Linked DNA regions of Arabidopsis thaliana. The protein of the gene in region 1 purifies or fractionates together with the protein of each later gene. This does not show direct contact. Each region holds a gene or a part of one and is shown on either strand. Other genes may lie near its edges.

Evidence for each region.
Region 2: the proteins of SPDS2 (region 1) and ALAAT2 fractionate together in Arabidopsis thaliana (co-fractionation; one large-scale study listed by BioGRID). This does not show direct contact.
Region 3: the proteins of SPDS2 (region 1) and PGI1 fractionate together in Arabidopsis thaliana (co-fractionation; one large-scale study listed by BioGRID). This does not show direct contact.

The regions. Positions count from the first base shown.
Region 1 is NC_003070.9:26,481,950-26,491,615, reverse strand, and holds SPDS2 (spermidine synthase 2), read left to right. Parts: upstream 1-4,020; 5' UTR 4,021-4,263; coding exon 4,264-4,444; intron 4,445-4,541; coding exon 4,542-4,618; intron 4,619-4,705; coding exon 4,706-4,828; intron 4,829-5,111; coding exon 5,112-5,216; intron 5,217-5,330; coding exon 5,331-5,403; intron 5,404-5,481; coding exon 5,482-5,749; intron 5,750-5,836; coding exon 5,837-5,966; intron 5,967-6,053; coding exon 6,054-6,119; 3' UTR 6,120-6,378; downstream 6,379-9,666. Other genes in the region: UPL2 (ubiquitin-protein ligase 2), read left to right, coding at 1-244, 403-1,510, 1,593-1,739, 1,851-1,931, 2,021-2,246, 2,346-2,485, 2,591-2,697, 2,769-2,871.
Region 2 is NC_003070.9:27,228,868-27,239,653, reverse strand, and holds ALAAT2 (alanine aminotransferase 2), read right to left. Parts: upstream 6,180-10,786; 5' UTR 6,018-6,179; coding exon 5,805-6,017; intron 5,542-5,804; coding exon 5,491-5,541; intron 5,388-5,490; coding exon 5,337-5,387; intron 5,220-5,336; coding exon 5,154-5,219; intron 5,076-5,153; coding exon 5,014-5,075; intron 4,925-5,013; coding exon 4,846-4,924; intron 4,756-4,845; coding exon 4,612-4,755; intron 4,557-4,611; coding exon 4,446-4,556; intron 4,376-4,445; coding exon 4,238-4,375; intron 4,165-4,237; coding exon 3,969-4,164; intron 3,890-3,968; coding exon 3,735-3,889; intron 3,650-3,734; coding exon 3,575-3,649; intron 3,491-3,574; coding exon 3,287-3,490; intron 3,200-3,286; coding exon 3,083-3,199; 3' UTR 2,865-3,082; downstream 1-2,864. Other genes in the region: AT1G72350 (MADS-box transcription factor family protein), read left to right, coding at 1-381; AT1G72340 (NagB/RpiA/CoA transferase-like superfamily protein), read right to left, coding at 1,172-1,378, 1,449-1,690, 1,861-2,002, 2,118-2,270, 2,352-2,837; PUM23 (pumilio 23), read left to right, coding at 7,074-7,327, 7,424-7,787, 7,900-8,202, 8,322-8,492, 8,707-8,850, 8,981-9,100, 9,193-9,378, 9,494-9,642 and 2 more.
Region 3 is NC_003075.7:12,706,439-12,717,894, forward strand, and holds PGI1 (phosphoglucose isomerase 1), read right to left. Parts: upstream 6,388-11,456; 5' UTR 6,173-6,387; coding exon 5,654-6,172; intron 5,444-5,653; coding exon 5,321-5,443; intron 5,124-5,320; coding exon 5,025-5,123; intron 4,942-5,024; coding exon 4,858-4,941; intron 4,575-4,857; coding exon 4,431-4,574; intron 4,358-4,430; coding exon 4,292-4,357; intron 4,138-4,291; coding exon 4,069-4,137; intron 3,976-4,068; coding exon 3,868-3,975; intron 3,607-3,867; coding exon 3,554-3,606; intron 3,463-3,553; coding exon 3,324-3,462; intron 3,238-3,323; coding exon 3,081-3,237; intron 2,990-3,080; coding exon 2,911-2,989; intron 2,822-2,910; coding exon 2,755-2,821; intron 2,669-2,754; coding exon 2,534-2,668; 3' UTR 2,208-2,533; downstream 1-2,207. Other genes in the region: AT4G24610 (pesticidal crystal cry8Ba protein), read right to left, coding at 37-171, 318-389, 469-653, 1,015-1,461; AT4G24630 (DHHC-type zinc finger family protein), read left to right, coding at 8,481-8,519, 8,913-9,098, 9,354-9,653, 9,843-10,076, 10,209-10,673; APPB1 (Plant invertase/pectin methylesterase inhibitor superfamily protein), read left to right, coding at 11,413-11,456. UniProt on the Arabidopsis thaliana protein: Promotes the synthesis of starch in leaves.

The DNA.
Region 1 (9,666 bases):
GCTTGCTGCAAGTAGTTGTCTACACAGCAGCGTCCCGAATTGAGGGTTGGTCTCCGTCATCAGGAGTGCCTGAGAAACTAGAAAACAAACCTGTCGGTGAAGAAGCTTCAAGTGAAACACAAAAAGATGCTGAATCTGAGCTATCTGTTGCAAGAAGAAAGAATTGTGCTGAATTATATAACATATTCTTGCAGTTACCACAGTCGGACCTCTGCAATCTTTGCATGCTTCTTGGATATGAAGGGTGAGGGACACCTTTCTTTCTTTCTTTCTTTCTTTGCGTTCCTAAGACTTTCTTTTTATATGTAGTAGTCTACACAACATAGATCTTTTCTTTTCCTTGGTCTCAATTATTTCCTTGAATTGCTTAAGACGAACTCACATGTTTTATTACCGTAATAGGTTATCGGATAAAATTTACTCGTTAGCGGGAGAGGTACTGAAAAAGTTGGCTGCCGTAGATGTTACTCATCGCAAGTTTTTTACAAAAGAACTCTCAGAGTTGGCGAGTGGTTTGAGTTCCTCAACTGTCCGTGTGCTGGCAACACTAAGCACTACACAGAAGATGAGTCAGAATACATGTTCCATGGCAGGTGCTTCAATTCTCCGTGTTCTGCAAGTGCTTAGCTCCCTAACTTCCACTATTGATGATAGCAATGTGGGAACCGACAAAGAAACAGATCAGGAGGAACAAAACATTATGCAGGGACTAAAGGTGGCATTAGAGCCCTTGTGGCAGGAACTTGGCCAGTGTATCAGCATGACTGAGTTGCAGCTCGATCATACTGCAGCTACATCAAATGTCAATCCTGGAGATCATGTTCTAGGGATCTCTCCTACGTCATCTCTCTCTCCAGGAACTCAGAGTCTCCTGCCTCTTATTGAGGCTTTCTTTGTTCTCTGTGAGAAGATTCAAACTCCGTCAATGTTACAGCAGGATGCAACTGTGACAGCGGGAGAAGTAAAGGAGTCGTCTACTCATGGTTCTTCATCGAAAACCATTGTAGATTCTCAGAAGAAAATTGATGGTTCTGTTACATTTTCAAAGTTTGTGGAGAAGCACAGGCGGCTTTTAAATTCATTTGTTAGGCAAAATCCAAGTTTGCTGGAGAAGTCTTTTTCAATGATGCTCAAGGCACCAAGGCTGATTGATTTTGACAACAAGAAAGCGTACTTCAGGTCAAGAATAAGGCACCAACATGATCAACATATTTCTGGGCCATTACGTATTAGTGTCCGCCGAGCTTATGTGTTGGAAGATTCATACAACCAGTTACGTATGCGCTCCCCACAGGATCTGAAGGGACGTCTGAATGTGCAGTTTCAAGGTGAGGAAGGTATTGATGCTGGTGGCCTGACCCGAGAATGGTATCAGTTATTGTCAAGAGTTATATTTGACAAAGGAGCGTTGCTCTTCACTACCGTTGGAAATGATGCCACCTTCCAACCGAATCCCAATTCTGTTTACCAAACTGAGCATCTATCATACTTCAAATTTGTTGGTCGCATGGTAATATATCAGGACCTTGTCAATGCAATGATCTGATTGATCGTTTTTTGCTCTCTCTGATGTGTTTGTGATGTCACTGCAGGTGGCAAAGGCGTTGTTTGATGGGCAGCTTTTGGATGTCTATTTCACCCGTTCTTTCTATAAACACATACTTGGTGTGAAGGTGACTTATCATGACATTGAGGCGGTGGATCCTGATTACTACAAGAATTTGAAGTGGCTATTAGAGGTTTGAGGACCTAGCCTTTATTTACCTTTATCTATTACATAGCTCAAAAATAGAAGTCAGGTCCTGTGCTGTTTGAGCCTTATATATTTGTCCCCTTTTCTGTTTATTCAGAATGATGTGAGCGACATACTCGACCTCACATTTAGTATGGACGCAGATGAGGAAAAACACATTCTTTACGAGAAGACTGAGGTGTGTGGTGATTGATGTTCTTTCTTTTGTTGTGCTTTATCCCAAATTGCCTAGTATATTGAATTGATCATTTTATCTTTGATGAAAAGGTGACGGACTATGAACTTAAACCTGGAGGACGAAACATACGGGTAACAGAAGAAACAAAACATGAATATGTTGACCTTGTGGCCGACCACATACTTACCAGTGCTATACGCCCTCAAATCAACGCTTTCCTAGAAGGCTTAAATGAGTTGATACCTCGTGAGCTTGTATCAATTTTCAATGATAAAGAGCTTGAGCTCCTAATCAGCGGGTTGCCTGAGATTGATTGTAAGTTGGCATTCTATTTTTCAATATTTTTGCATCTATTTGCTTATTCATTTAAAGTTATAATAACAATCTTGTTATCTGTTTTCTTTTGTTTTTTAGTTGATGATCTAAAAGCAAATACCGAGTATACCAGCTACACGGTAGGGTCCCCTGTTATTCGTTGGTTCTGGGAGGTTGTCAAAGCTTTCAGCAAAGAAGATATGGCTAGATTTCTTCAATTTGTCACTGGAACATCAAAGGTAAAACCAATATTTGCAGCTTCTGTCCAAGTCGCTTGAGCTTCATTTTCTGATATGTACTAGTTTTTCTTCTGGTTGTTTTACAAGCGGTGTTTCTGTTTTCAGGTTCCCTTGGAAGGCTTCAAGGCACTGCAAGGTATTTCTGGCCCTCAAAGATTACAAATCCACAAAGCATATGGATCTCCGGAGCGGCTGCCATCAGCTCATACATGGTTAGACATTATTACAAAGTCTTTTTTTTTTCAGTTAAACGTGGTCGTAATTTTCATTGGTTCTGTTGCAGTTTTAACCAACTAGACCTCCCTGAGTATCAATCTAAGGAACAAGTTCAGGAACGCCTGCTTCTTGCAATTCACGAAGCCAATGAAGGTTTTGGGTTTGCTTGAACAAAGCTTAAGAAGAAGGAAGAGCTTTTGATTAAGAGCAAGAAATAGAAAACGCAAGTGGCTATTTTTGTCTGTCCATATATTATGTTAGTATATTAGTCCATTGTTTTTTTTTTAGGCTTTCTCTCTATTTCCTTAGATTTTGTTAAAAATAGTTGCAAACTCTCAAATATTAGTAGTTGATATTTGCTATCCATTTTTATAAGATGAGAAAATTACATAACTGCTGGTCATTATTTTGAATACTTCCTTTCTGTCACGCGTATTGGCATATTCCTCAACCAACATACGAAGGCCAGTTTGTTATCACAAGTTTGCAAGCCCATTGTCTTAATATCTCAACTGTCTCCAGAAGCAAGTCTCATAACATCTAGAAGAGGTTGTTGAGCATACCAAGTGTGTTCCGAGGAGGATAAACATGGGAGACTCCACTCCAAACTCCATTACCTTCACCACCTGCCTATTCAGCAAATGAAGAATCAGAGTGTGTGCATGGCATCTCTCCGAAAATCCCACACAGGGTCTTGATCTTTGTCCTCCACGTTCATCATCATTTTCATCCATTATTGCTTACTCGCCTTGTCCTTGACGTTCCACATTTGTCTCCAGCCAACAAGTATTGCTGGTATAAGCTTTGATAGTTTGTAAAATAAACATTAGCTAACATAAATACTCTTTTGCCTCTTATCAAAAAAAAAAAATGATGCTTCACAAGTTAACACACCTTCAAATTTTCTTAAAAAACATCTATATGCAATAACAGAATTCAAATTATAATGCAATAATGATAAGAAAACATTTCTCCTCCATCAACCAAAACGTGAATTAACATCTATCGAAAATAGGTGCTTCACAAGTTGACACACTTGACACACAAAATCTACAAGTGTGAGAGCGCTTGTTCATAACGAGTTTAAAGAATCGCAAAACACACTCATATTAATAATAATCAATCAACTTTTGGAAATATTCAATACTCTTTTGTTGATACATGTAGTCTTCTAAGATAAAATAAAAACGTATACACTAAACAGTTTTTTTTTTTTTTTTTTGGGGTCAATAACAGAATCTAAAAATTAAAGTTAAAATTTAAACGATAAAAGTATTTAATTGGGACGTTTATCAAAATGAAACAATGCATTGGATCGGCTTTAAAAAGCAACCAAAAAAAAAAGAGCTGTCATGATTGATATTCATCATCACAAAATAATGAAAATTGCCTTATTCACGTAATAACAAAAAGAAAATGATTTTATAACAGTCGAATCGTACGGCAGATATTTGTTGGCCCCTCCTCTTATATGATATCATAGTCAACAAGAGAACAAAGCCACAGAGAGAGAGAGACACTAAAACCCTAATCTCTTACTCACTGTCTCTCTTCTTCAATCCATGTCTTCAACACAAGAAGCGTCTGTTACTGATTTGCCCGTGAAGAGACCTAGAGAAGCAGAGGAGGACAATAACGGCGGCGCCATGGAAACAGAGAACGGTGGAGGAGAGATAAAGGAGCCTTCTTGTATGTCCTCTATTATTCCTGGATGGTTCTCTGAGATTAGTCCTATGTGGCCAGGTATAGATTCCTCTGTTTTCCCCAATTGAGGTCCGTCTAATTCCTCATGTTAATTCTCTGTGAAGCTGATTTTGAATATCTCTATCTGAGTTTGTAGGAGAAGCACATTCTCTCAAGGTAGAGAAGATTCTATTCCAAGGGAAATCAGATTACCAGGATGTTATTGTTTTCCAGGTAATAAGGACAGTTTCTTGGTTAGTCTGTCTCTCTAAGTTTGGTTCACTTTTATATAAAGTTGTCAACTTTGGTGTATTTTGTTAGTCTGCAACATATGGAAAGGTTTTGGTTTTGGATGGAGTGATTCAACTCACTGAGAGAGATGAATGTGCGTATCAAGAAATGATCACTCATCTTCCTTTGTGCTCTATCTCCAACCCCAAAAAGGTAAATCCTTTATCAACAATCTTAATCTCTAGATAATCAAAGTCTCTTGCTTTCAAATGGAAAACTGCAAGAAAGAAGGTGAATTGTCTATCAGTTATGACCATATAACTTGTTTGAGCTAGAAATACATCAAAAGGATGATCCTTTAAGGGAGTTTTAGTTTTGAGTTTGTGTTTGAGAAAGGTCTATAATTGAAGTGTTTTGAGTCTTTTCCCTCTTGCTATTGGATGGTATAACTGTAAAGTAACCAAGTGGGTTTCTTATGGAAATGTTTCTTCTTCAGGTACTGGTGATTGGAGGAGGAGATGGAGGAGTCCTGAGGGAAGTGGCACGTCATAGTTCTGTTGAGCAGATTGACATTTGTGAAATAGATAAAATGGTGGTTGATGTGAGTACTTGTCAGATTTCTTTCATTTATTATTATGCATCTTGCAAGTGCATTGTGATGAACCTTTACTTAAGTTTAATATGTTTTCTTCCACCTTATGGGATCTTTCTTCAGGTGGCTAAGCAGTATTTCCCTAATGTAGCAGTTGGATACGAGGATCCTCGTGTCAACCTCATCATTGGCGATGGTACACAATGCTCTCTGCTTTCATCTCTCTCTTTTGAGATCAGTTTTTATAAACAATGTTGTGGCCATTTTTTTGTAGGTGTTGCTTTCTTGAAGAACGCTGCTGAAGGAACCTATGATGCAGTTATTGTTGATTCATCTGATCCAATCGGTCCAGCAAAAGAGCTATTTGAGAAACCTTTCTTTGAGTCAGTGAATAGAGCTCTTCGTCCTGGTGGAGTTGTGTGCACACAAGCTGAAAGCTTGTGGCTTCACATGGATATCATTGAAGACATTGTTTCTAATTGCCGTGACATCTTTAAAGGATCTGTTAACTACGCTTGGACCAGTGTTCCAACTTACCCGAGGTCTTTGAAATTGATCTTGAAAACATTTATGCTTTTTTTGTTTGCATTGATCTCAAACGTCTGAGTTTGTATGTGATTCATTTGCAGTGGAGTCATTGGATTCATGCTTTGTTCATCTGAAGGACCACAAGTCGATTTCAAGAAGCCAGTGAGTCTAATCGATACTGATGAAAGCTCTATCAAATCACACTGTCCCTTGAAGTATTACAACGCTGAGGTACATAAAAAGTAGTTAGTGTAACAATCATTTTCGAAATGTGTGAATCATTGTTAAGAATTGTGATTGAATCTTTTTGTGTTGCAGATTCACTCAGCTGCTTTCTGCTTGCCCTCTTTTGCTAAGAAGGTGATTGATTCGAAAGCCAACTAGAAAAGAGAAGAGAAATCATTTGCTTTAGAGAAACTTCATGTGGAAGTGATAATATGATGATACAATGATCCTTTGGAAAAAAATAAAGAAGTTTTAATTTTTAGAATGTAATGTTCTTTCACCTGCAATGTTATGTGACTGCACTGAGCTATCAATCTCTTTTTATAAGCATTACACATATTTCATATCCTTTTTTTAACGTTATGCATCTATAATTGACTAACTTTCGATTTAATGTGATCACATAATATGATTTAAAACCCAAAAATTTGTAGACTAATTTTTTATCATTTTGACATGTTTCCTCTAAATTATAAAAATAAGGGCAAATAAAACAAATATTTTAATAGGTGTGATTTGGACCAAAAATAGAAAAAATGGAGAGGCAAAACTGTTTTATGGGCCTTAATAAAAATTAAATGTTTTGGGCTTACATCATCAGCCGTCCAAAACAGTTGGTTTGTCCAACAGAACTTGTATACGTGTTCACTGGTATTGTCGACGTTGACGTTATAATTATAACAAGAGGTTGACCATCGTTATTCACGTGTGTATGGGTTCACATCTATCATGACATCACAATATTACAAACATTACCTAATTTATGACTTTTAAATCTAATGATAATTTTACTTGATCGTCATCAATTATGTTTAATTTTCTGTCGCTCTCAATTCCTAATAATACCACTTAATAGGTCCTTCTTGAAGTAGTTGGATTGCCACTTGCAACTTTAACCAGCATATAACCTTGTACATGTTCCTTTTTTTTAGTTAAAGACCTTGTACATGTTCTTAAGACGAAGAAAAAACTAACTATAGTATATGATTTGTTAGGTTACATTTATATTATATGTAGAAAAGAAAGTAGCAAAAGATACCGATGAGTAGTGCTTATGTACAGTAGATGGTTGATTCATGCCCATTTAATTTTAAAATAGTTAAACCAATTTTATGATTTAAATTGTATATATTTTAAACTAAACTGAAATATTTATGCTATAGTATCAAAGACTTTGAACTATTACGTATAACGTATGTGTTGATTTTATAGCATATTATATGTTGAGAAGATAGTTTATCATATATATTTTATAATATTTGAAACAATTGGTTAATAGATTTTTTTTATTTTTTTTTAAAACAAAATAAAAAATAAAACCAATTTTACCTTTCAAATAAAATGGAGAAGATGTCTTGTTGACATGATGCTAATGACTAATGAGTATTGATCCGAAATATTGTTCTTGGATGTAATTACATCATAAGATTTGTCGGCTTCGAGGATTGCAATATTATATTATTTGAAGCATTATTATTAGATGTGTGATCATTTTTGTGGCTTTAAATGCTTCCCACGTCTTCTAAAATGAAAATTCAAAGGAATGTTGATAAAATGTTTTAGCCTTTTAGGGTCTAATGACTCGTGCTAGCATTAAGTATTCAAAAAAAAACAAAAAAAAAGGAAATAATTCTGGTTATCGCAGAATAGTAACTAGTAAAACGTATAAAAATTAATAAAGACAAAACTAAGTTGAAAAAGATAGAGTTCCACAACAAACAATGACGCCATCGGTAGCTAAGTAAAGTCAATATCTAACTAATTAAATAGCAAAATAGTAGTAGATGTTAACGTAATCACATTCGTAATATTCTGTAATGACGCAAACTCGGGGATGCAGCGACAAAAGAACCATTACCTAACAAAAGTAGGAAACTCTCTTGTAATTTGAACAATCTTCCAATAGTTTGTCCATTATATTTGTTTTTTTTTTGTACTATTTTATTCAAGAATCGAACATATTTCTAATTTTTCTACATGGACCAGGTCTCAACATTATGAATCACATCCGATATTACGAAAAACTCTATTAAAATGATTACTAACTCTATTTTTAACTATTTTTCAACCATATAGATTATTTACAAATTCATACATATGGACCGTTTTGGTGTCTTCAGATACGACCTATGAGGAGATAAGAAAGAATCGAATCATTGACAATTATTGTTTGTGATTCTGCAGAAACTGAAGAGCACTTCACGTTCTTTGCACACGTGTATGTCCAATATCGCACGCCATATTAACCGCGGTTCCAGTTGCATCAGAATGTGTCCAGAGATGAACCACGTGGAAACCGGTTTGTGGAAAACCGGAATCGTCATAAACGCTTATCGGTTTCTGTCATGATCGTAATAATCATGCACGCGTGGATCAATCATCTCTCTTAGTAAGTTTTGATGATATTTTGTAGACGTTTTTCTTTACTTTTGATGAAACTCTCTAGAAAACTTTAAATTATCCACGAATATGTGGAGCTCTATGTAGACGCATAATTGTGCCGCATATAAATGCCGTCAGCTTAATTTTGGCAGTTTTCGTTACACGAAAATGGAACAAATGTAAATGATCAAATAAGAGAGGACCCATAACATCATATATGTGTCGGCCTTTCGATCACCCTCTCCACATAAAACCTCAAATGGCCATATTTTTTTCATTTATATATTTCTTAAATGGAGTAATACCCATTACCCAAAAAAGTGGTCACCAAGAGGAATTATTCTGTTATAGATTCCACCATCGAAGCTAAAAGCAAATAGATATATTATTGATAAAATAAAATAAGGATGGCTGCTAGAAATAGAAACGCATGGGTGTTTTGGATAATCCTATAATATATGTTTGGTAAATATAATATTACATTTTCGATAACTTATTGTATTAAGTTCATATTTAAAACCAACTCGTGCTAAGAAACGAATAAATGCCGTGGAGCATAAATATTAGTAACTTGGTATATTAAATAAGTGAGACTTACATTTGTTTTTAAAATTTGGTCAAGGGTTTACATTTCTCATTTAAAGAAATGTCATAAGATAAACTAAACAAAAATTATAGTTGTTGAGATTAGGTAGCTTGAATGTTAACTCAAAAGTTTCATGCTTTTTCATTCGCTCAATTGCTTTTGTTTTGAATGGAGCAATCAGAAGAAAATAAGTTTAATTGTTAAAACAAGTCGCCAACAATTTTTGAACCATTGAAAACATAAACCAATATTTGAAGCATTTAAGAAAGATTTTTTTTTTGAATCATGGATGTTGAAAACTTTGACTTCGATCAAAGGACAAAATTTTCAATTTTCAATCTTTATGATATCGTAAATCACTTTATTTTTGAAAAGTGAATCAAAAAACATTTGTCGAACTCTAATAGCTTGAACTCAAAATTTTTCAGTAATCATAAAATCTCCAGATTTTACTGCATTTTTTATTTTTACATTCGAATTACCTTGTTTAAATATGTAGATTATGTACTTTCGCTTTTGTTTTCCTTAACCATATTGTTTTCCTTTTAAAACATAGATGCCAAATATTAAGTTTATTTTAGTATCACTTTAAACCACATATCTTAAACAATTTAGTTACATTAAATTCAAACAATATAATGCAAGTAAATGAATAAAGATGGGGATATAAAAAAAGGTAAAGAAAAACAAAGGTAAAGATTGCTTTGACTAAATATAGCCAAATAGGCAAATATAATT
Region 2 (10,786 bases), 750 kb from region 1:
GGTAACGTGAACTCACTCATCGATAAATACTTGCGTAAGGCTCCGGTGATGCTGAGGTCACATCCCGGTGGTAACGTGGCAAACGGAGAGGAAGATAACGACGGTTTGATGTGGTGGGAGAGAGCGGTGGAGAGTGTGCCGGAGGAGCATATGGAAGAGTACAAGAATGCCTTGAGTGTGTTAAGGGAGAATTTGTTGACGAGGATCTACCAGATGAGTGGTGATCGGACGGTTGAGAATCTTCCGGCATTTCCAAATGAGATGGCTATGGCTGACTGGAAATTAACGAATGAAAATCTGATGGCTAGGAACGATCGAGGTTATGGAGGTAACAATGGTGATTTGGAGTTTGCGTTTATGCCTCAAAACGGTAGACAGTGAGGTGTTTTTTCTTTAATTTATTATTACAGTTTGGTGTTATTACATATAGATTATAGGTTGATCTAAACTATTTTTTTAATTCGTTTACCTAAATTAACTAATGCTTTCAAGTTTAAGATTGAAAAAAAAAAATTGTATTCCGAAATTGAAATTCATATTTCCCTTTTCTTAACTGTGGAGTTAGCTTATTAATAATACTGGTTTTATTTTATGAGCTTGTGTTTTTGTCTTTCTTGTTTATTTTCTTGAAACTGTTAGGATATTTTCTCCAACAGTTTCTTTTTATATAAAAATGATGTAATATTTTCCCCAACCATTGGCTACACTTGAGGAGGTTAGCTTGTCTACGAATTGTCAATGGTCGTAATAATGAGGGCTTGAGGATCGGAATCTGGTCATGGTGATGTTGATCCTTTAGAGGTTCTTATTAGAACTATATTCCACACACAATTCGAAATCAAATCATGTCACAAAAATTGGAACCACGAGGACTGAGGATTAGGTATGTTGTACATGTTTATAGTCTCTAGGCAAAAGAGTAATAAATGGCTACTTCAATAGATAAGATTGTTTAAAGTTAACGGTGTTGATACCAGGATCGGAAACTGGTTACCGGAGAACTGGGCCAACTGGCGGAAACTGATCTAAATCGGAAGACGAAGCAGAAAAACTACCTCAATATTTAAGATAAAAACATGAACTTTGAAGATCTTAAAAGGCTCAAAATTGGAAGTTTTCACTTCTGAAGCAAAAGTAGTATAAATAGTTAGTTATTAATTAGGAGTTGAAATTAGAGATAGAGTTGAATAAGCTCATCGCTAACTACAGAGGGAGAGAGAACACCAAGGTCAGTGAAGAGGAGTGTTAGGTACTGAGGCGGAGTATAGTCTCGAGCTGACCTCTCTACTTCCACCTTTGTCGGAATCTTTACACCAAATTCGATTGGTCTCAACGCCGGTGCCATGTCCTTTTGGTCTAATGGGTAAAGCCTAGCGAACTGCAAATACACAACTTTGTATCATTAACCACTCTCTTACTATGGGATCTTATAAAACCGTTTCAATTACCTTGTAACTCTCAGCAGCAACATAGACCGGTTTGTTCATGCTGTGTGCCACAAGTGCGATTTGGTATGTTCCCATCATGTTGATAATACCGCCACTTTCTACAACTCCATCCGCCCCGACAAACACCATGTCTACCTCGTCCATACTATACGCCACAGCTGAATCAAGCAGTAGTTTCACTGGGATATCGAGCTTCGATAGCTCACTCGATAACAGAACTCCTGTTCCATCCGGCCTCCCCTCTATCATTTTTTCACCAAAAAAAGTTAGCGAGAGGCTACTAATACAACAAAATCATAAAGAGACAGGGTTTATAAGGTCAAGACTATGCAACAAAAATGTCTCAGAGAAACCAAGAAACATTAAGCGGATACAACTCAAGTTCCAATCTAAGCTTGTTGTTTAAGCGAACCTGTGCAGAGAACTCGAAAGAGCTTGTTGTTTTGTGCAGCAGTCTTAAGTATTTCCAGAACAACTCTAGAGAGTCCATGAACCAATATGGTACAACCATCGAATATAAAATCTTGACTAAGCATTGCGATAATCCTACGAGCCTGCGCAATAACCAAACCTTTATAAACCCTCTTCTATCAAATACTAATTGATCTACTTCATTGATATATGTACAAAAACTACTAAATATGAGCCAGAAGCCATAAAAGGAAGTACCTTGCAAGATATTTCCCCAAATTTCTCAGCACGTTCAAGAAGACGAGACTTAGCTGAATTGAAATCTTCATATTCCAAAGCAGACGTTCTCGTAACGTATCTGATAAACAAATCGCATCCAGCTGTCAAAGAGATCGACGTTTTGTCCCACGACTGCCAAAATTTGAACATTTCTTAAATCAACAAAGCCCACAAAATCGAAGAATGAACAGAAAGTGAAAAATGAATTCTCACCTTGAGTGTATCAGAAGCCTTTTTGAGCTCAATTTCAAGCTCCATCATGGTGCTCGCTTCGCTCGCACGAATAACAGCAGCCAAAGCTCGTATAGCCGCGACGGCTTCAGCCAGATCCGGTTGTTTTCTCCAGTTATTGAACTCTTCAATTACATTAAACGACTTCTCGTTCCCGAGATCAGTTACGGATAAGTCATGCTGGGCATCGCCTGAGACGCCGCCAACGGCGGCTTGAGCTTGGGCTAGCCAGTCGCTTGTAATGACACCGTGATGCGCCGCGCGAGTTTGGTAATAAGCGGAGATGGAATCAGGGTTTTGAAAAGGACCTCGTGTTGTATCCGCCATTGGAGGTGAATTCGAGCTTCGTCGCTCGTCGAGAATAAACGACGGTGATCTTCTCCACATTGATTTTTTTTTTTCTTGAGAAAATTCTTCAAAATGGAAAAATTGAAGATAATATACTGTCGCTTTCTCCAGAAATATCATATGAAAAATAAATATAAGGCCCATTAATAATATAAGGCCCATTTATAAGCCCAATAAATTTACTAATTTTCATATCTTCATATGACATGCCATGGAATGGAAGTACAAAATATTCTAAAATTAAATTAGCTGATCACAATTGCCTGATCAAATTCAAAACACAAGTTTTCTTTTTTTTAATAACTCAAACTGATCACACTTTTCTTCAAAAGGGTCTTTAAGTTCATCTTCATGGTCAGGTCCTTTTAGTTGCGGAACTCGTCCATGAAGCTCTTGTGGAACTCTGTCAGACGATTCACTATCGCTGGAATCTTGTCTTCTTGTGGAAGTATTGTGCATCTAAAGTGCCATGTTCCAGGAACCTAAACCACAATGAATCCAAAACCCATTATTCAAGTTCGATCCTTTTGTAAGACATTTAAAGTTATGAAGATTTGGTTATATTTTACCTGTCCAAAGCCAGAACCAGGGACTACAACTACACCAGTAGCATTGAGAAGGCGTTTGCAGTAGAACGCATCTGGTGCAGTTTTTTCAGCCTCAGCAGCTTCGATAGCCTTTTGAGGAAGGTTAATTCGCGGGAAGAGATACATTGCTCCTTCGGCTCTGTTACATGTAACACCTTCTAAACTGTTGAGAGCGTCTTCCAAAGTCTGCAAGTTCATTTTCAAGCTTGTGACATTATATACAAAGAGACTGAAAAATGTCGTTAGAGGGTATTGTAATCTTCGACTAACCTTTGCACGTTTAGCCATGGATGAGAGAATTCCATCTCTTTCTGCCATGTATGAGTCATATGAGTCATCACCAGGCTGATCAAATACAATATTAGACTTTTTAGTCATAATCTGTTGCAAGAACTTAGCGAAAACCGATTAGAGAGAACTAGGGTGTTACCTTGGGTGGGCTCATGACAAGGCTAGCAAGAATTTGACCAGAGATGTTAGAACAAAGATTCACAGAAGCCATTTTGTATATCTGTTCTCTTACATCAGAAGTGAATCCAGTAACCTCCATGTAACCTCCTCTTTTTCCACATTCTCCATAATATCCTATCAACAGAAGAATATTAAAAACAAAAACCCCATTTTTTAGATGACAAGCATTGGACAGTAAAAGTTGTTCTTTTACCTTTGGAGACTGATTGGAACGAGACTAACGAGATATCTTTTTCTCCATAGCCCAAAGACCGAGCCACTTTCTTGAAAGAATGGAACTTTTTGTCAGGGACGTAAACATTTTCTTGGTAGACTTCATCAGCTAAAAGAACCAAACCCTCTTGCTTGCAGAAATTAACAATGTCACGCTGGTTTTCTTCCGCAAGAACCTAACCAGAATAAGAACGCAAGATTAGAAGAATGTTACATTTTGTTAGGCTAGTCTTGAAAATCTGTTTGTACCTGCCCAGTTGGGTTACCGGGGTTTATGACAACCAAGGCCCTTACAGAGATGCCCTTGGACCTAGCTTCCTCTAGTTGCTTCTTAAGGTCAGATATTTCCAGTCCCCATCCTGTTGCTTCATCAAGATAGTACGGAACCTAAGAAGTACAAATTTCAAAAACTTGTACCAAAAAACAACATTACTCCATGATGATTATATGAACATACCAAAGATCCACCATGAAGGGCAATTGAAGCCGAGTACAATGGATACTGAGGAATCGGGGAAAGAATACCATCTTTCTCTGAGCTCAAGAGAAGTTGCATCATCATGTGAACCTATAGAGTAAAAAACACCAAAAACACTTAGCATGAATCCTTTAAAAGAACTTACTCTAACTCTATGAGATAACGTTTTCGTTTTGATTGTTACCGCTGGACTTGCACCATCAGTCAAGAAAATATCATTTGGATCAGCAGGGAAACCATCACGTGCTTCGATTCCAGCTGCAATTACATCACGTAAACCCTTGATACCCTGAGGCAGAACAAAAAATGAAACATTCAGCAACATAAGAACCATCTCAAGAAAGGGTTTAGGACTTTTAACTAGACTCTAATAACAAACCTGGCTATGACTGTAAGCCCCAGTTGCTCTTCCGGGAATATGGTCCAAAATCCTCCATGCTCGGTCAATTGAATCGGTACTGATAGCAGAGTAGAAATCAAATGTTAAGCAATCTTAAACCGTGAGCATACATGTCCTAAAGCTGAAATATAGCAAGGAAAACCTCACCTGAACAAACCATGGGTTTCAGACTCATCCAAAAGACTTGCGTGGTCACACAATGCGAGAACCTGAGGCATATAGATGATAGACGTTATATCTCTGTGGCTGATATGACAACCAAACTAGTACCAAAAACATTCACTTACCTCACGGAAGAACTTTATAGGCAGCTGACCAAGAGATTGAGGATTCCCAATGTTGCAATAGATTATCTGCCAAAAGTAATGAAGAATTCTAAGTTCCTTGCACAAAGAGTTTGAGAACAGGTAACATCAACACTAAACTAATCATAAATCCGTCAAAACTGCCGATAAAGAAAGAGATTTTACCTCATCAAAGGGATAAGCATCCTTATTAGTCTTCAAGTCTTCTTGTAACTTCTGTAAGATGGAAGCAAAAAGCAAACAAAAATCAATTAGCATTAAAAACAATTTTACAGATTTTGTTCTTGGTTTTACAAGACAAAGCACATGCATCTCTGACCTGAGCAATGTTGACAATTTCTCCTCGAACAGCATACTCACATTTCAGAACCTGTTCCCCGGAAAAGAAAAAAAACTCTTAGTTAACAATAAAACCAACTTCTCTGTAATATAAAGTACAAAGAAGTTATGCAAAGCTTGTCGATTTCATCGTTGGGAATCACAACGAGAAGCAAAGGATAAACCTTTGGCGTTAAATCAGACAACCACAGTAAAAAATTGAAACTTTTTTACTAAATTAGAAACAAATCCAGATCAACCCTGAAACCCACAATTCAAAAACGCAATAAACCAGCTAGAGAATTAGAAACCGACCTTGGGATTGATGGAGTCAAGAGTAACGGGAAGAGAAGAAGTGGAATCAGAAGCAGACATCTCCGAAGTAGAAGAGAAGAAACGAGACAGAGCAGGAGGAGAAGAAGCAAGGGGACGAGGTTGAGGAGAGAGAAAGCTTGGACTTTTGTGGTGATGTTGACGACGAGAATGGTCGACGAGACCTTTAGCTTGGTTAATCAAGAATCTCCGCATCTGTGAATCAGCTTTATACTAGGAACGTGCTCTTTAAGCCCTAGGATTGAAAATTCTCTCACGAGGAAACAAGGGTCCCAATATCCAGTGCCTTGCACACCGAATTTTGCCTTGTCCTCCACGCTCAGAAATTGCTTTTTCGTTTTTTCTTTTCGAAAATCTAATTGATGAAGATATTTGTAGGGGTTTTTTTTAGGCGGCTAATTTTGTTGATTTATCTGTTAAACACACGACTAATCCCAAAAAAAGACATGTCTTTTATCAAAAAAAGATGTCTGAAGTCTATCTTCCGTTGACTTAATTATCCAAAAGGACCAAAATTGAATAATCCAATCACAGTCGTAATCTAATTTGGGGATAAATAGATACTTATAAAACCTACAGCTAATTTGAAAGTTATAAATTTTTAGAAATCTCTAAATTTAAATAAATCACAACAACATGTAGCAGCACATTGCTAACGATGAGGTTTTTTTTGGGCTACATAATTGGGCCCTAAAAAGGTCGGTAAAATCGTGATTTAAAGCCCATTATTTGTTTATATCCACGTCAACAAAACGATATCGTATTAGGTTGGACGAGAATAAAACCCTAGGAATTAGAAAATTTGTACAACGTCAAAACATCGAAGATTTTGATCCAACGTATACCAAGAGTTTCGGAGACGACGTCGTTTTGTCTCTGCGCCGCGTTCTTAGTCTGAGCTCACGCTTGTTCGTTTCTCCTCTAACGTCAACTGTGTTTTTGCATCCTCAAAGGTTTGTGATACACCTTATTGTTTCTGTTCTTTTGTACAAGCTTCACATGGATTAGTGTAAAGTCTTAGAATTGGGACTCGGAATTTATTGTTATGTTTTAGGTTATTCAACCCAGTTATGGTATCGTTTTGAAGTAGAGGTAGAAACCCTAATTTTTGGGGTCTGTAAATTTGGAGAAAAAATTGAACCTTTCCCTTTTTTGTTATATTGTGTAATTTGGGACTAATAGTTCTTCGAAGCTGAGTTTTTTTGTGTGTAAATTTTGTAGGGTTTAACATAGTTGGGGCTAGGAATTTTCATGGTTTCTGTTGGTTCTAAATCATTGCCATCTAGGAGGCACAGGACCATTGAGGAAGATAGCTTGATGGGTGAACGAGGAAAGTCTAGTAACAATCACAGTGAAAGGAATAAGGGAATGCGTAGGAAGGACCATAAGGGTAACCGTGGATTTGATGTAGATAGCAGCAAGAAGAACCAATCCGGTGGTGCCCCCAATGTAAAGCCAGCATCAAAGAAACACTCCGAATTCGAACATCAGAATCAATTTGTCAGGTAAAGGAGATTTTTAACCAAGGGCCTTTGCTCTAATTTATAGTCGAAATTTTGTTGTTGTGAGAAGTGGTAGTGATTTGGGTGTATCTTTTTCAGGAAAGAGATTGATCCAGAGACTTCAAAGTATTTCTCTGAGATTGCCAATCTCTTTGATAGTAATGAAGTTGAATTAGAGGAACGTTCAGTAATATGTGGAAATGCCCTTGAAGAAACAAGAGGGAGGGAGTATGAAATTGCTACAGACTATATCATAAGTCATGTCTTGCAAACTCTACTTGAGGGATGTGAACTTGACCAACTCTGCAGTTTCATACGAAATTCTGCTAGTGTGTTCCCAGCCATTGCAATGGATAGATCTGGTTCTCATGTCGCAGAGTCTGCTCTCAAATCCTTGGCCACACATCTAGAAAATCCAGACGCCTATTCTGTTATTGAGGAGGCTTTGCATTCTATATGCAAGGTACTTTATACAATTTTTACTGGCTTTGACAATCATATTAAGGTATCCAGATTATTGCTTCTAGTCTAGTAATTGACCTCAATTTTGATGGTGAAATATTTCCCCTGGTCAGGTGATTGTGGATAATCCTCTTGATATGATGTGCAACTGCTATGGTTCGCATGTACTACGAAGGCTTCTTTGTCTTTGCAAAGGAGTCTCTTTAGATTCCCCTGAGCTTTATGGCGCAAAATCATCAAAAGCTCTGGCCAAACGTTTGAATCTGAAGATGTCTCAGCTAGATGACAATAATTTAGAAATCCCTCATCAAGGGTTTCCAGGTATGCTCACGTACCTTTTATCTGGGCTATTAAGTTGTAGCAGAGAGGACATGAAGTATCTTCAAGTCGATCAGTATAGCAGTTTGGTCTTACAGGTAGGTTTTATGTCCCTGTCTAATCGTTTATGTCATTTTCAAGCAATTTCTTTAGTATTGACTGTTATTTAGTCTCTCTCCCTGATTCACGGTGATTCTAACTAATCTTCTCTTGACAGACGGCTCTCAGACTAATGCTGAAACAAGATGAGCAGTTGCTTGAAATCATTCCGCTTATTCTGCGCTGCAACTCTACTAATAAAAAAGTAGAAGGGTTTCATATAGAGACTAATGTTGCCAAAGAAATTTTAGAGTCGATGAAGGATAATTCATTCAGTCATCTGGTGGAGGTAACTGAGTCTAACCTCTGGCTGCTCTGACTGAGTTGTTTATACCAAGATTCTGTACCTTGCATAAAACAATTGATGATGGACGTATTGCCTGCTTTAGACCATGCAAAATATTATCTATAAGGATTGCTAGTTCTCTGTTTGATTCCATGCTGTAATTGGAGTGTTAATTTTCTTAGTCATCTCTTTAAATGCGTTTGCATGCCATTTTCAGGTTATTTTGGAAGTGGCCCCTGAAAGTTTGTATAACGAAATGTTCAACAAAGTTTTCAAGAATTCTTTATTTGAGCTTTCAGTTGATCGGTGTGCAAATTTTGTTATTCAAGCATTAATCTCCCATGCAAGAGACCAAGAGCAGGTATCTTTATCATACACTTCATCTTTTTCTGTGACATCAAAATTTCATTCCAGGTCTTCTTAACTTCGAATTTATTTGTGCTATTTCCGTGAAGCCAGTAAACTTACGTTCAATTGATTTTGTTTACAAGATGGGTATTATGTGGGAAGAATTAGCTCCAAGATTCAAGGATCTTCTTGAGCAAGGGAAGTCAGGTGTTGTGGCTTCTCTGATAGCAGTTAGCCAAAGGCTTCAAAGTCATGAAAATAAGGTTTCTATGTTTTCTAAATTTAGATGAAAATTTATTTCTTTTCTAGTTTCAAAATTGTGTTCTTATACAGCTGATTTTTACTGATTTGACAGTGTTGTGAGGCCCTTGTTGGTGCAGTATGCTCCACAAATGAATCCCGTATCTCCATTCTTCCACGGTTGCTGTTTCTTGATTACTACTTTGGTTGTCGAGATAAGTCTACATGGGAGTGGGCACCTGGTGCAAAGATGCATGTCATGGGTTGTTTGATACTTCAGGGGATTTTTAAGTTTTCTAGTGTATGTTTCCTTCTCTTCTTGTGTTGACAAAAATAGCTTCAGTGCTTTTAACTTCCAAATTTTTGGCTTTTCATGTGCATTCACAGTAACTCCCAACTTTTTCTCAATTTCACAGGATCATATACAGCCATACATAACAAGCTTAACTTCTATGAAAGCTGAGTATATCACTGAAACGGCAAAAGATTCCAGTGGAGCACGTGTCATCGAGGCCTTTCTTGCCTCAGATGCTGCTACAAAACAGAAACGTAGACTAATTATAAAGTATGCACTGCTTCTTGATTTTATATGGGGATATGTTTATCTCAAGACCGATAGATTCCACAGTAGCTTGTTTATATGATTTCCTTCATTCTGTTTTTTCTTCATTCAGTCTCTTAGGCTGCTTGTCAGTTTTTTTTTTCAAGCAATTCTTCATATTTTGATGATGTTTCTTTTCACCAATGATTTCGTCACAGATTACGTGGACATTTTGGCGAGCTCTCATTACACACGTCTGGTTCATTTACAGTTGAGAAGTGCTTCGATGCATGTAATTTGACACTAAGGGAAGCCATAGCATCTGAACTGTTGGATGTGAAAGTTGATCTCTCGAAAACAAAGCAAGGGCCTTATCTGCTTAGGAAACTTGATATCGATGGGTAAGATCTTATTCACAAACTTACCTTGCTTTGTTTGACGGAAGCTGTAACACATCAGAAAGACTGGTATCACTAACATATTCGTCCTGTGAGATGGAAAAAAAGAGTAAAATTTCTTAGAGAAAAAGTCTAGGAGATTAAGTGACCATAGTGCCACTGAAAGGTGGCATAACTGTAGCATTGATGGCATGCATGTATTCTCTTGCATCTTTTACCTCCTTATTCATGATTTGATATGATATGGAATCATTTATTTGTTGCAGTTATGCCAGCAGACCTGATCAGTGGAAATCAAGACAAGAAGCTAAGCAATCAACATATAACGAATTTTGCTCTGCATTTGGGTCCAACAAATCAAATTTTCCAAAGAACACCTTTGTCTCTGACGCATCTGAGGATGCAGCTCAGGAAATAGAAGTAAAGAATACAAGGAAAGAGATTGACCATCATCCTACTTCCGGGTTTAAGCGTCACCGAGAAAAACATGCAAAGGATAAGGATGAACCTTTTGCAGGTGAAAAAAGATCGAAACAGAAGAAGAATAAAACTAGTGAAGCAACAGATAAACCAAAACTAGCTGGCAGCAAAAGACCTTTCCTTTCTGGTGAGATGACTGGAAAGAATCGGCATTCAAATAAAATGAGAATTTGAAGGTTAGACTCCTTACTCTTGTCATATCTAGTCAAGCTGTATTTTCCTCATCTCTGTGACACAGTTCTTTTTTCCTCATCTCTGTGACACATTTACAAGAATGCTAATAAAAAGTC
Region 3 (11,456 bases), on another chromosome or scaffold:
ATATGAAAACTAAGAAAGAGGCTATAATAAACCCACCCAAATGCTTCTCGTAGAAGAGCACACTCATTTTCCAAAAACATGGGAGCCTCCATGCAACCGGTTGACCACGCATGCAGACAAAGTCGTACACATGCATCATAGGAAACCACAGCATGCCATGGCCCACGAGAACTGTATCAGGGTTCAATAAAAAATGTTGGCAGAGTGATTAAAAAGAATCCAACTTGTATACTGAACAAAGTGAAGATAACTGAGGTTTTCTATCTGTCTATATCCAGTTTCTGAAGCAGTGAATAAACTAATTAGATCATAACTACCTTGCATGAAAAGTAGGAAGCCGAGCTGGATGTTGATCAGGTGGCCCAGATGACTCAGAAGCTGCACTAGGTCTATAGGAACAGAAGCAAAAACTGAAATTAGTTTACCAAATTGAGAACTCAATTCATTTAAGAGCTAAAAATAGAATACCTAGTAAAGTGGCCAGTCTTTCTACTTTCTACACAATCTCCTGTTTTGACTTCTGAAACTTGAACGCTTGAAGTTGCTGGTTTAATTTCTTCAGATTCCTCTGCTGCCCCGGAAAATGGAGGGGCACTGGGAATATCGCTTACTTCTTCAGAAGAAAACGTCTCATCAAACTCCTGCAATATGAACTGGAGTTTTTATAAGATCAATAAAGAAACAAATCCTGTAGACATCCTAGTCGTTCCACCATGTTACAAGGGAAAGTACAAAAAACAGAAAAGCAGCTCTTTTCTGGATTTACATAGAGACCTAGATCATCAGCTAAAGCACAAGCTCCTGATCATATTTGGACATTGTTATGACTAGATGATCACAAAATCCAAATCTTCAGACCACAATAAAAACAGATGAGAACAAAACGCGATTGCATATCTTTCCATATCTGTCAATTTTATTGGTCATCCTAGCTCTACGAACGCCTAAAATCATCCATCACACTAAATTGTTTCTAAGATCTCTGATCTTAACACAAAAGGTTAAGGTTAAAACCTTCTCGACAGTTGCTCGCCTGTCCGTCTTAGGGAAGTGAGTTTGTTCCACCTGAGATACGCCGTCGTTAATCCTCCCAGCTGCCGGCGGCGGAGAAAATTGCGTGCTAGAAGCTGAATCGGTGGATTCATCTTCCTCCGTATCACCATCAAATCTAGGTCCCGTCTGTTCGCGCGCACCGACCAAAGTCTCTCTTGATGAGCTCACCTCGGAGTAAGTATAATAAGAAGAATTTCTCCCGTAGCTGCGACCAACGGCACTGGACACTCTACTGTTCTCGGGAGACGAATCGAGAGAGACATCCTCGGAATTTGTACTCATATCGTCATCGGAAGTGACGTCAGTATCAGCCACTAGGGTTCTGGTGACCGGAATAGGAGCTGAGGGTGACACGCGGTCTTCACGGACCTTGAGAGCAGGTAATCTCAATTCTCCGTTGGGGATCATTGTGAAATGCGAAGTTGAAATCGAAGCACAGTGTGAGTAAAAGGAGGTGGAGGAAGTTGCTAAAATTGAGCTAATGAAGTCTTTCTCTAGAAGAGATTTTTGAAGAACTCAGAGAAACCTTCACAGATCGAGCTAGATTTTGCAATGGAGGAGACGACGAAAGCTTAATCAGAAAGCTTTCTCACAGAGAGAGAGGGAGAGAGACGATTGATATCTGTGCACTTCAAAATGATTTTTCTTTGTTTTTTTTGATATTTTTGCTTTTTGTTAGTATTTACTTTTGATTTTGAAAAAATTGGGAATTCAAATTTGGGAAAGGGTAGAGAGGAAAAGCAATCGAGTTGGTAAGACCTCCCCAAAGCGGTGTCGTTTAGTACGCTCACCAGCTTGATAGGAGCTATGGCATAACGGGTAGTGATGACATGGGAAAGCGATTCAACATCTTGGTTTTGAAAATTGATAAAAGGGATTGTAACGTTATAATTTTTTTGTTGTTATGGTAGGCTACTAAATAGGTGGTGGTGGGGACAATCGACTCGACTTATGTCTTGTTTTCTTACGGTGGATCTACCATTTTCTTTTGTCAACATATTCCATTCGAATTTCAAAAGTGGCAAGTGAAAAGTTATTATGGAAAATTAAATATTTAGAGTTATCTTGGTTAGATCTGAATGGGGTTTTCTAAGAAAATTCAGAAGTGAATTTAATTGAAGAAACTATAGTTGATACAATCTAACCACATGGGAGGAAGTTGTTGAGCATCTCTAACCTGCTGATTAGCTTAAGCTTTTGTTTGTTTATGCAACAAAAGAACACCTAACCAAAAAACAAGCAGAAGAGTGTTGAGATCATTGTTTCACATGAGCCTGCTTGATTGATGAATCTATCTCCAATGTTATCATTACAATCAACATTTGTAACATTCTGAAATTATCTTTATTTCAAAACAAGTACACAAGTGTTTCCTGGCTCTTATTGCAATCTTTTTCTTTTTCAAAATCATAGACATGGCAGAAAGAAATAAGGAATGGAGAGAATGAGAGTTTGGAGTTTGAGAAAGTGTTGGGTTTTGTTATGCGTACAGGTCATCCACATTGCACTCGCCCAAATACACTTTGATACTTCGTGGCGATCCACAGTTTCCTTCTGCTATCAGAACTCTGTCGTTTGCAGACATGTGCGCTATGATCTTGTATATCATTTCTATCTGCATATTCAAAGATAAAAACTTCTTGATACGTGCGTTCGAAAAGTTACCAATGAAAAAACAAGTTTCAAGGATTTGGACGTTACTTCCTCAGGAGCATGACAACGATCAGCTATCTCTTCCAGTGTCAATGGCTCTACCGGATCTTTACAACTGCAGCCACAGAAAGAAGTATATAAGTGGTCTCTCATGAGTCGAGACAAGATTTTTTGACAAAGAAGCGGACTCGGTCTGATTCTTACGTGGCTTCATTAAGAACTGACAATACCCGCTTTTGCAGGGCGAGAACTTCTGCTGCTGCCTTTTTCCCAGCTTCCACACCTGAAATCGTTTTTTATTCAGATTCAGTAAACAAATATCAATTAGGCAATTACAGAACATCGGTTTCTAGATATGGGAGGAATATCTCTACCGGGTTGGTGGTAAGCATTTATGTTCACAATTGAGGCATATAAACCAACAGCTCTTTCATAAAGAGCTATAATAGCCCCAACAGATGTTGGTGTCACTTCCTGGATTGTAACACTGATGGATTCTCTACCGTTTGCATATAAAGCAGATCTAGTTCCCTGGACAAATTCACCATATATAGTGTTACTAAAGAGTGTATATTATCTCTGACTAATTTGTGCGAAACGAGATTCATAAATCAGACCTGTAGCATCCCAAAGAGATAGTCTCCACAAGTGACACCTGGCTCAAGCTCCCAATCGTGACCAGGGGGTCTGTCCCGTAACACTTCTATGAAGGTTGCAAAGAAATTGTGCACACCATCTCTCAGCTGTTGAATGTAGCTAATGAAATAAACAAATTAAATACTGTTAAAAAGCTCCTTATTTGCTATGCTCTCTCAATAGTAAAACTATATGAATAAATGAAACTCACGCGTGCTGATCTGTGCTTCCCTTATTTCCATACACAGTTAACCCTTGATTAACCTGCAAATTCAAAGAACCGGTCCTTGGGATCACACTCGTAATAACAGGGTCGAGGAAACAGTACACAAGTTTCAATTCTTCCATGAAGGAGTGGTAACAAACTGAACTCAATCATGTGCACAAGTAATTAAGTAACCAAGGTCTTCTGATTTATAAGAGTGGGCATTAATTGCAAGACCAATTTACACCTTCTCAGTTCTCAGTAAATGCTCATGAACTTTGATTTGGGGTACTGCAGAGAAAATTGAAGAGTATGCTTACAGTGTTACCGTCAAGATCAAACTCCTTTCCTAGTGATTCCATGACCAGCTGCTGCAGATACCGACTAAATAGCAATAAGCTATCCTTGTAAGGAAGGACAACCATATCCTGTAAAAGAAAGCAAGAATAGAGTAATAAGGTCAATAAGAACTCAATCTCCTTGATAGCCTTAGAACTCTCAAAAAAGTTGAGGAAAAACACCTTGGAACCAACGCCATTGGAAGCCCAGTACCAACACATAGCTAAGAGCGCTGCAGGGTTATTCTTGATCTGAAAGAAGAAAGAAATTTACAGGCTAGAGTGAGTCATGGTAGAGACTATCTAAAGTGTATGAGTCAGGAAACCCAACCGTATGATATGACATTCTACTAAAACCTGGTAAGTAAACTCATCTTCAACACAAGCTGCAATAAGTACTACTTACCGAAGTTGTCCTAGTAGCCTCATCCATTAAAGCAGCACCAGTAAGCATCTCCCTAACATTAATCCCCTATATGATGACAATGCTTTCGTGTAAATAACAAAGAATGGTCATAGAAAGTTTACGCTTATGTACAAATTACCTGTAGTGCTGCTGGAAGCAGACCAACTGCAGACATTATTGATGTTCTTCCACCCACCCAGTCGTACATAGGAAATCTAGCTAGCCAACCTTCAATTCTTGCCGTATTATCCAGTAATGAGTTCTCTTGGGTTATTGCAACACCCTGCATAAGCATACAGCGCGAAATTGCTGCTGAGGAACTACAGTGGGGCAGAAGTTGAAGCTAAATTATATCCAATACATCTGAAGGTGTCTACTGTCTAATGATCCATGAGAAGCCAGTTTTTTTTTTTTGTTGTTGTTAATGAGATGAAAAATTAGTCCACTTTTCTCAGATTATTTCCAACCGTGTAAACCAGTTTGACCATTATCATACAGCATTCTTCCCATGTTCGTAGAGACATGGATTTCAGCAAAAAGCGGAAACAAAAACCTGAGATTAACACCTGTTTTGCGAAATTCAGACCAGCTTCACGGAATGCTTTCTGCACTTCCAGTAGTCCATTTCTAGTTTCAGGAGTACCTCCACTCTGGGAAATACGTAAGAAACTTAATCATGCTCGCCAATATCAGGACCAACCATCATATAAACACAACTGAATATAGGACACACCTTTGAGATGACAACTACTAAAGTCGAGGCCAGCTCTGGCCCAAGTTGTGCAATCTGATGATCAATTCCAGCAGGGTCGGTGTTGTCAATGAATCTTATCTGTCAACAACCAAAGGAAGAACATAAAGTCAGAAAACAGTAGACAACAAAGTAGACTCTTTTAATCAGAAAAACCTAAGAGAGGACATCCTTTTACGAGGCAAAGATAAAGAACACCCATTTGTTAGTGGGGATGGCTAAGAGTGTTAAGAGCAAGGGAATGTAATGTTGACTGCAATTAGAACAGTATGCGATACCTTCAATGGAGGATTATCAGGAGCCAAGGCCTCAGCGACAAATTGAGGTCCAAGAGCCGAGCCTCCAATGCCAACAGAAAGTATCTGAGTAAAACGACCCTCAGGAGAAGATGGTGGCTTTATCTGCAACATACAAACAAAATTGAGTGGGAGTAACAAACAAACAAGATTCAAAAAGGTGAGCTAAGTAAGACTCTGCATACAACTATCTTTCCAGCATCAGAAATTTCCAAACAACACTCAAAAGGTGATCTAAGTAAGACACTCTGCATAAAACTATCTTTTCCATTACGATCATAATGCCAAACAAGGCCGGTGGGATCAAAAACTGACCTTTCCAGAGATTATGTCGTCGGAGAAAGCGCAAATAGAATCAAGTGTGTTCTCGATCAAGGTCTTTAAAGTAGGCTTAGGTGCGAGCTTAGAGTTCCTAAGCCAGTAATGTCCAACCATTCTTCCTTCATCAGGATTCGCTATAGACCCTTTTTCAAGATCCTCCATAGCCTTAAACGCAGCTTGAAACCTTGGCTCCATTTCAGCCACAAACTCATCGGTAAATCCGACCCGACTAATATCCAGATACAACCCAAGCTCTTTCTGCTGATAAAACCAATCGAGGTATCGCTTCCACAACGCATCCGGATCCTTAAGAAGCTCTTTCTTCGAATCCGCATGAGAAATGTCGCGTGCCACAGAACGAGCCGAGGAGAGAGTCAACGGTAGATTGGTGGGTTTGGAGGTATGTGGGAAAGAGAAGGAATCTCGAGATTGCGCCGGCAATGCTTTAAAGGAATGGTTTTTGGCAGGTTTGAGAGATGGAGAAGAAGAGTATAGGCCTGAGAGAGAGGCCATCTTTAGAGACAGCGATGTTTACGAGGGAAGAGAGACAGTCAACAATGGAGAGAGAGAGATAGAAAGAGAAAGGGTGGAGCTTTATATTGGAGGATTCGTATAGTTTATTCCGATTTGATTGATATTTTTTGGGAGGAACCAATGAACAGAGATGAGTGCGGGAGAGAGATTTGTCCTTTGGTGGGAGCGAGCGGCCCTGCTTAGATTAGGTAGGCTTCACAAAGCTTTTATCACTCTTATTACGACTATGTATATATATTATTGTCTCAATTGGCATCATATTCTATTTTATTTCACGTGGCCCGCCATTTTCAGATGTTTTGTTTTCTATTCAGAATAACTACCACTCTTTTGAGCTGAAGAACATAAACTAGCACTTCCAACCGTATATGCTATAAAATGAATGGTAATGTGGTTTTAAACAATTTGTATGTGTTTTGGATGAAATTATGCGTATGTTAAAATGTTGATTGGGAGTAGGGTTGTTCTTCAAAGAACTTCGAGTTTACAAGCTTTCGAAAAAAAGATTCGACATCTAAAGGACAAACGAGACTACCATTCTTGGTGATCTAAAGAGTAATATCCATGGAGTATGCTGATTTAGTCGGGTTGCTTTATGTGTTCAACATATGCTAGATGCGTGGATGTCGATTGTTGAGCGTTGTCGCATAGCTTTTGATGATAAAGATAACTTTTGTGCTTATTGACATTTCTATAGTTCTCCCTAATCTACATGATAGATCTCAATAAATTGTTAAAAAAAAAAAAAAAAAGAATTTTGAAAGAAATGTGATATATCATATAGATTAGGGAGATCTATAGAAATGATACGATGGTAGCTTTTCGAATATTTTTATGTCGCCGAGACATTTTAAGGGTTTGACTGGATAACTTAGTTAACGCAAACAAAAAGATAAAAATGTAATTACGTCGGATCCTGTTAAAGTTTCTACTAATCATGATGAAAAATAGAGATTATATTCCTTTCATTTTACGTGCAAAACCTAGAAAAATAAGTAAATAATTACGCTAAAATTAAAAACAATTCAGCTGCTTTTTGTTTATTGTTTCCACCCATTTACATATAAACTAGGTTTTAACTCGCGGTTTACCGCGGGCAATCAATTTATTTGGTTCTTATACTAAATATTTGAATAAATTTGATATCTTAAACTTATAAATATAAATTTCTAGTGATTAGTGAAGAATCGTAATAAATGGTTTGGATATTATTGATTATTGATTTCGTGATTGAATATACTGTTTTTAGAGATGAAATGTGATTATATTTTGATTTCAAAAACGACATAGATTCCTTATTTTTGTTGAACGGTTTAGATTGAAAGAAATTAATTTTATTAAACGGTTTAGATTGAATCGGATCATATAAAGTTTAGGAGATTGTTAAGACCAAATTAGCCTTAATAATTTTGAATAGCAAAGAATAAAATCCAAAATTGAAATCAAAATTGAGGCCAAATTAGAAAAAAATTCAATTTGTACTTCCCTTTTAATAATAAAGGGATTTATGTTTGCAAGGTATACATGTCATCATCTTTAAATAATCGAGAATTCGTTTGTAAAATTTTAACATTAAATGGAATTTTCCTCATCTCTACAATTTATTTTTAAATTACAAACTTTCAAAGTTTTATTAAGTGTCTATTCAAACATGTCAAATTCTTGGCTCATTGAGAAGGAACAGGTTCAAACAATTCAATAGAATTAGTCAAAACCAGTTGATTTGCGATCATAATCAATTGTAATTGATAGTCAATTGAAAGACAAAATGGACAATGACTCAAATAAATGGTATTTGGTTGTTTTCCTACAAAAAAATAATGTATCCCAAAAACAAAAAAATCACCAACTGAAATTGTATAGTTTGCACGAGGAATGAAATCTGACACAAAATGCGCAGAAAAATTGAGGACACTAATTGTAATTTGTGGTTTAGGAGATAAACATGATTACGTCATAATTTAAAACAAGAGAAAGGCAGACAAAAACGTTTAAACATAAAAAAATAAAAATAAAAAAAAAACTCAGGTTATTCGCTCGTTCGTCTTCGTCGCCCATTGAAGGAGGTCAGACCAGAAGTCGCACGCGAGCCTTATAATTGTGTAATCCTTAGGGTTTTGCTCGCGATTTCTGGTACTATTAGGTTTCCGTCGATTTCTTCGTCGGGATAAAAACCCTCTTCTTCGCCGGAGGGAGAACACGGCGAGAATTACACAGCTATCCTTCGAATTCCGTCGCTGGTTAGCTTAGGACTTTCTGATTCTGTCGCTTTAATCTTCTTCTCTCCATGACACAACGGGTATTCCAAGTCTGGAAAGGAAGCAATGTAAGTCCTTTTTTCATCGAATGATTGAGCCTGGAATTTTATTGGTTTTTTGTGTGTTTTCTCTTTGTTGGGAGATGAATATTCTCTGAATTCTGTTCTCTGGTATGAATATGATTTGGAATTCGTTTTTTCTCGAGTTTCACCTGTGTAGCATAATCTTAGTTACGCAATTGGTTTACTTTGGTACGTGTAAACTAATGTTGTTGAGCTGAATCGTTGAAGTATCTCTTGATTCACTCTCAAAGCATGACCATGCATTTTTGCATAACCTTGTATCAAGTTGAATGTTCCTTGTAATTTATTAACAATTGGAAGTATCTTCAATGCTTGACTCTTCACATGTTTTAAATTCAGTATGGTGATACCAATAAATGGTCCCTCTCTCTTTTGCAGAAATTCATCCTGGGTGGGAGATTGATATTTGGACCAGATGCTAGGTCACTGCCTCTTACCTTGCTATTGATCATAGTTCCGGTTGTTTTGTTCTGTGTATTTGTAGCAAGGCACCTTCGCCATGAGTTCTCTCCCTACAATGCGGGATATGCTATCATGGTGGTAGCAATTCTTTTCACTATTTATGTAAGTCTTCTCCGATACCCAATCTGATAGTCCTATATATCTCATTGTTGTAAATATTTGATTTCTGATTTTATGTTTGTTTCCTGTTTGCTTACTGCCTAATCGGGTAATCAACAACATTTATCAGCTATTTCATTGTTTGTTTCTTACCCGGCTTAGAAGCTTAAACCCTGTCCTCCTGTTCTGTCACTTGTTGTGTGGCATTCAGGCGTTGTTATTTTTTGCTTTTCTGAATCACGAATTTGGGTTTGATAGGTATTGATCCTCCTCTTCTTCACATCTGCACGAGATCCTGGTATTGTTCCTCGAAATTCGCATCCACCAGAGGAAGACCTACGTTATGAGACAACTGTATCAGCTGATGGAAGACAAACACCGAGTGTTCAAATTCCCAGGACGAAAGAAGTCATTGTTAATGGCGTTTCTGTTAGAGTGAAATACTGTGATACATGCATGCTTTACAGGCCTCCTCGCTGCTCTCATTGCTCCATATGCAACAACTGTGTTGAGCGCTTTGATCATCATTGCCCATGGGTGGGACAATGCATTGGACTGGTAAGCTCAATCAAAAGCATATTGACTTTGAAAAATATAAAGTTCGTAAATTTTTATCTCCCAAAAAAGTGTGAGGTTTCTGTTTCTGTTATCTGAAAGGCCAAGATCTGTTTTATCTGCCGATTGGCCAATCTGTTGTCTGCCATTTTGTCCTGTGATTCTGACTGGGAAAGTTCTGTCCATTGGCAGAGAAACTATAGGTATTTCTTTATGTTTGTTTCTTCGTCAACACTTCTCTGCATCTATATTTTCTCGATGTCGGCGGTATACATCAAGATTCTGATGGATCATCAACAAGCAACTGTGTGGAGGGCAATGAAAGAATCACCTTGGGCTGTTGTGTTGATGATATATTGCTTTATTGCCCTGTGGTTTGTTGGAGGGCTCACAGCGTTTCACTTGTACCTCATAAGTACAAACCAGGTCAGTTGGTCTCTATTGTTTTAAAATTCTGTTTTCTACTTGTTATCCCTGTTATTACCTTCCCGTATATACATATTAATATTGTATGCAAATTGTAAGTCAACTGATAGCAACACCGTGCAAGTTTTTCAGACAACCTATGAGAAACTCCGGTACAGGTCATCACACAGCAGGAGCATTGTCTATAACCGTGGCTGTCCAAACAATTTCCTGGAAGTTTTTTGCTCAAAGGTGAAGCCCTCGAGGAACAACTTTAGAGCCTTCATCGAAGAAGAACCCCCAAGAGTTATTACTCTGCCTAGCACCACCAGGGAATCAGGGGAAGCAGAAGACGAAAATGTGACCCGGCGACAGAAAGTGGAAGACGATCTAGACATTGGAGACGATCTAATGAATCTCTCACGGCGTTGTAATGCAGAAGATGCCAACAACAATCAGCCTCATCACACATTGGACATAGACCATGAGAGAGCAGGCTCGATAAGGACAGAAGCAAGACATGAAAGCTGGGGAAGAAGAAGTGGGAGCTGGGATGTAGCAGCAACAGATGTGAGGGAAAGTCGAAGCTACGCAACAGCAAAGGATGGAAGGGGATAAGGGTTTGTGGGGTTTCTCTTTTAGGACAGAAGTCGGTAGATGTGAATTGGTTTCAGGGATTTGGGGATCAGTTAATGTAATCTTGAGTGTACTATACCAAGAGTAGTAGTTCTTCTATCTTCTTTTCGTTTTCTACAATGTGTATTGTGCTATTTTATTAATATTATGTGGATATTCCATTCTGTATTTGCGTCCATGACATCTACCTTAAACATTGTCATGCTGTCTTTTAGCTCGGCCAAAATCCAATTTATAATCTTCTCTTACATGCAATTAGCAGCACTGCGATTAAAGGAAATATCAAATCTAACAAAATTTGTATTTTATGACTAAAATAAGTTTTTCGTACTATTTAAATCTAAAAACTAATAAATAGTTATTTTTTAAAGTAATCCCTAGGGCATTTACTTGTCTAATTTTGCTCAACACTTATGAGTTATGATCACGAGTCACGACATCCATTTTCTAAACAAAGTAAGACGATACTGGACGTTGTCTTTGACTAAATTTGTACAAACCACGAATTATTTACATTGGCCAAATTTAGAAAACATAAGAAAAAAGTTACTAAAGTTTAACGTTATTTGATACCAGTTATAATATAGCACATTCTAAAGTTATCCAGCCCTAGATGAAACCCTAAGCATACATATATATCCGCCTTGAACCAAAAGCCAAACAACACAAAACTGAATAACAACCGGAAACTTGAGCAACAAAACTTCCGACGCTAAGAGAAATGGCAACGTCCTCTGTTCTGTCCACCTTCGCTGCGGCGGCAAT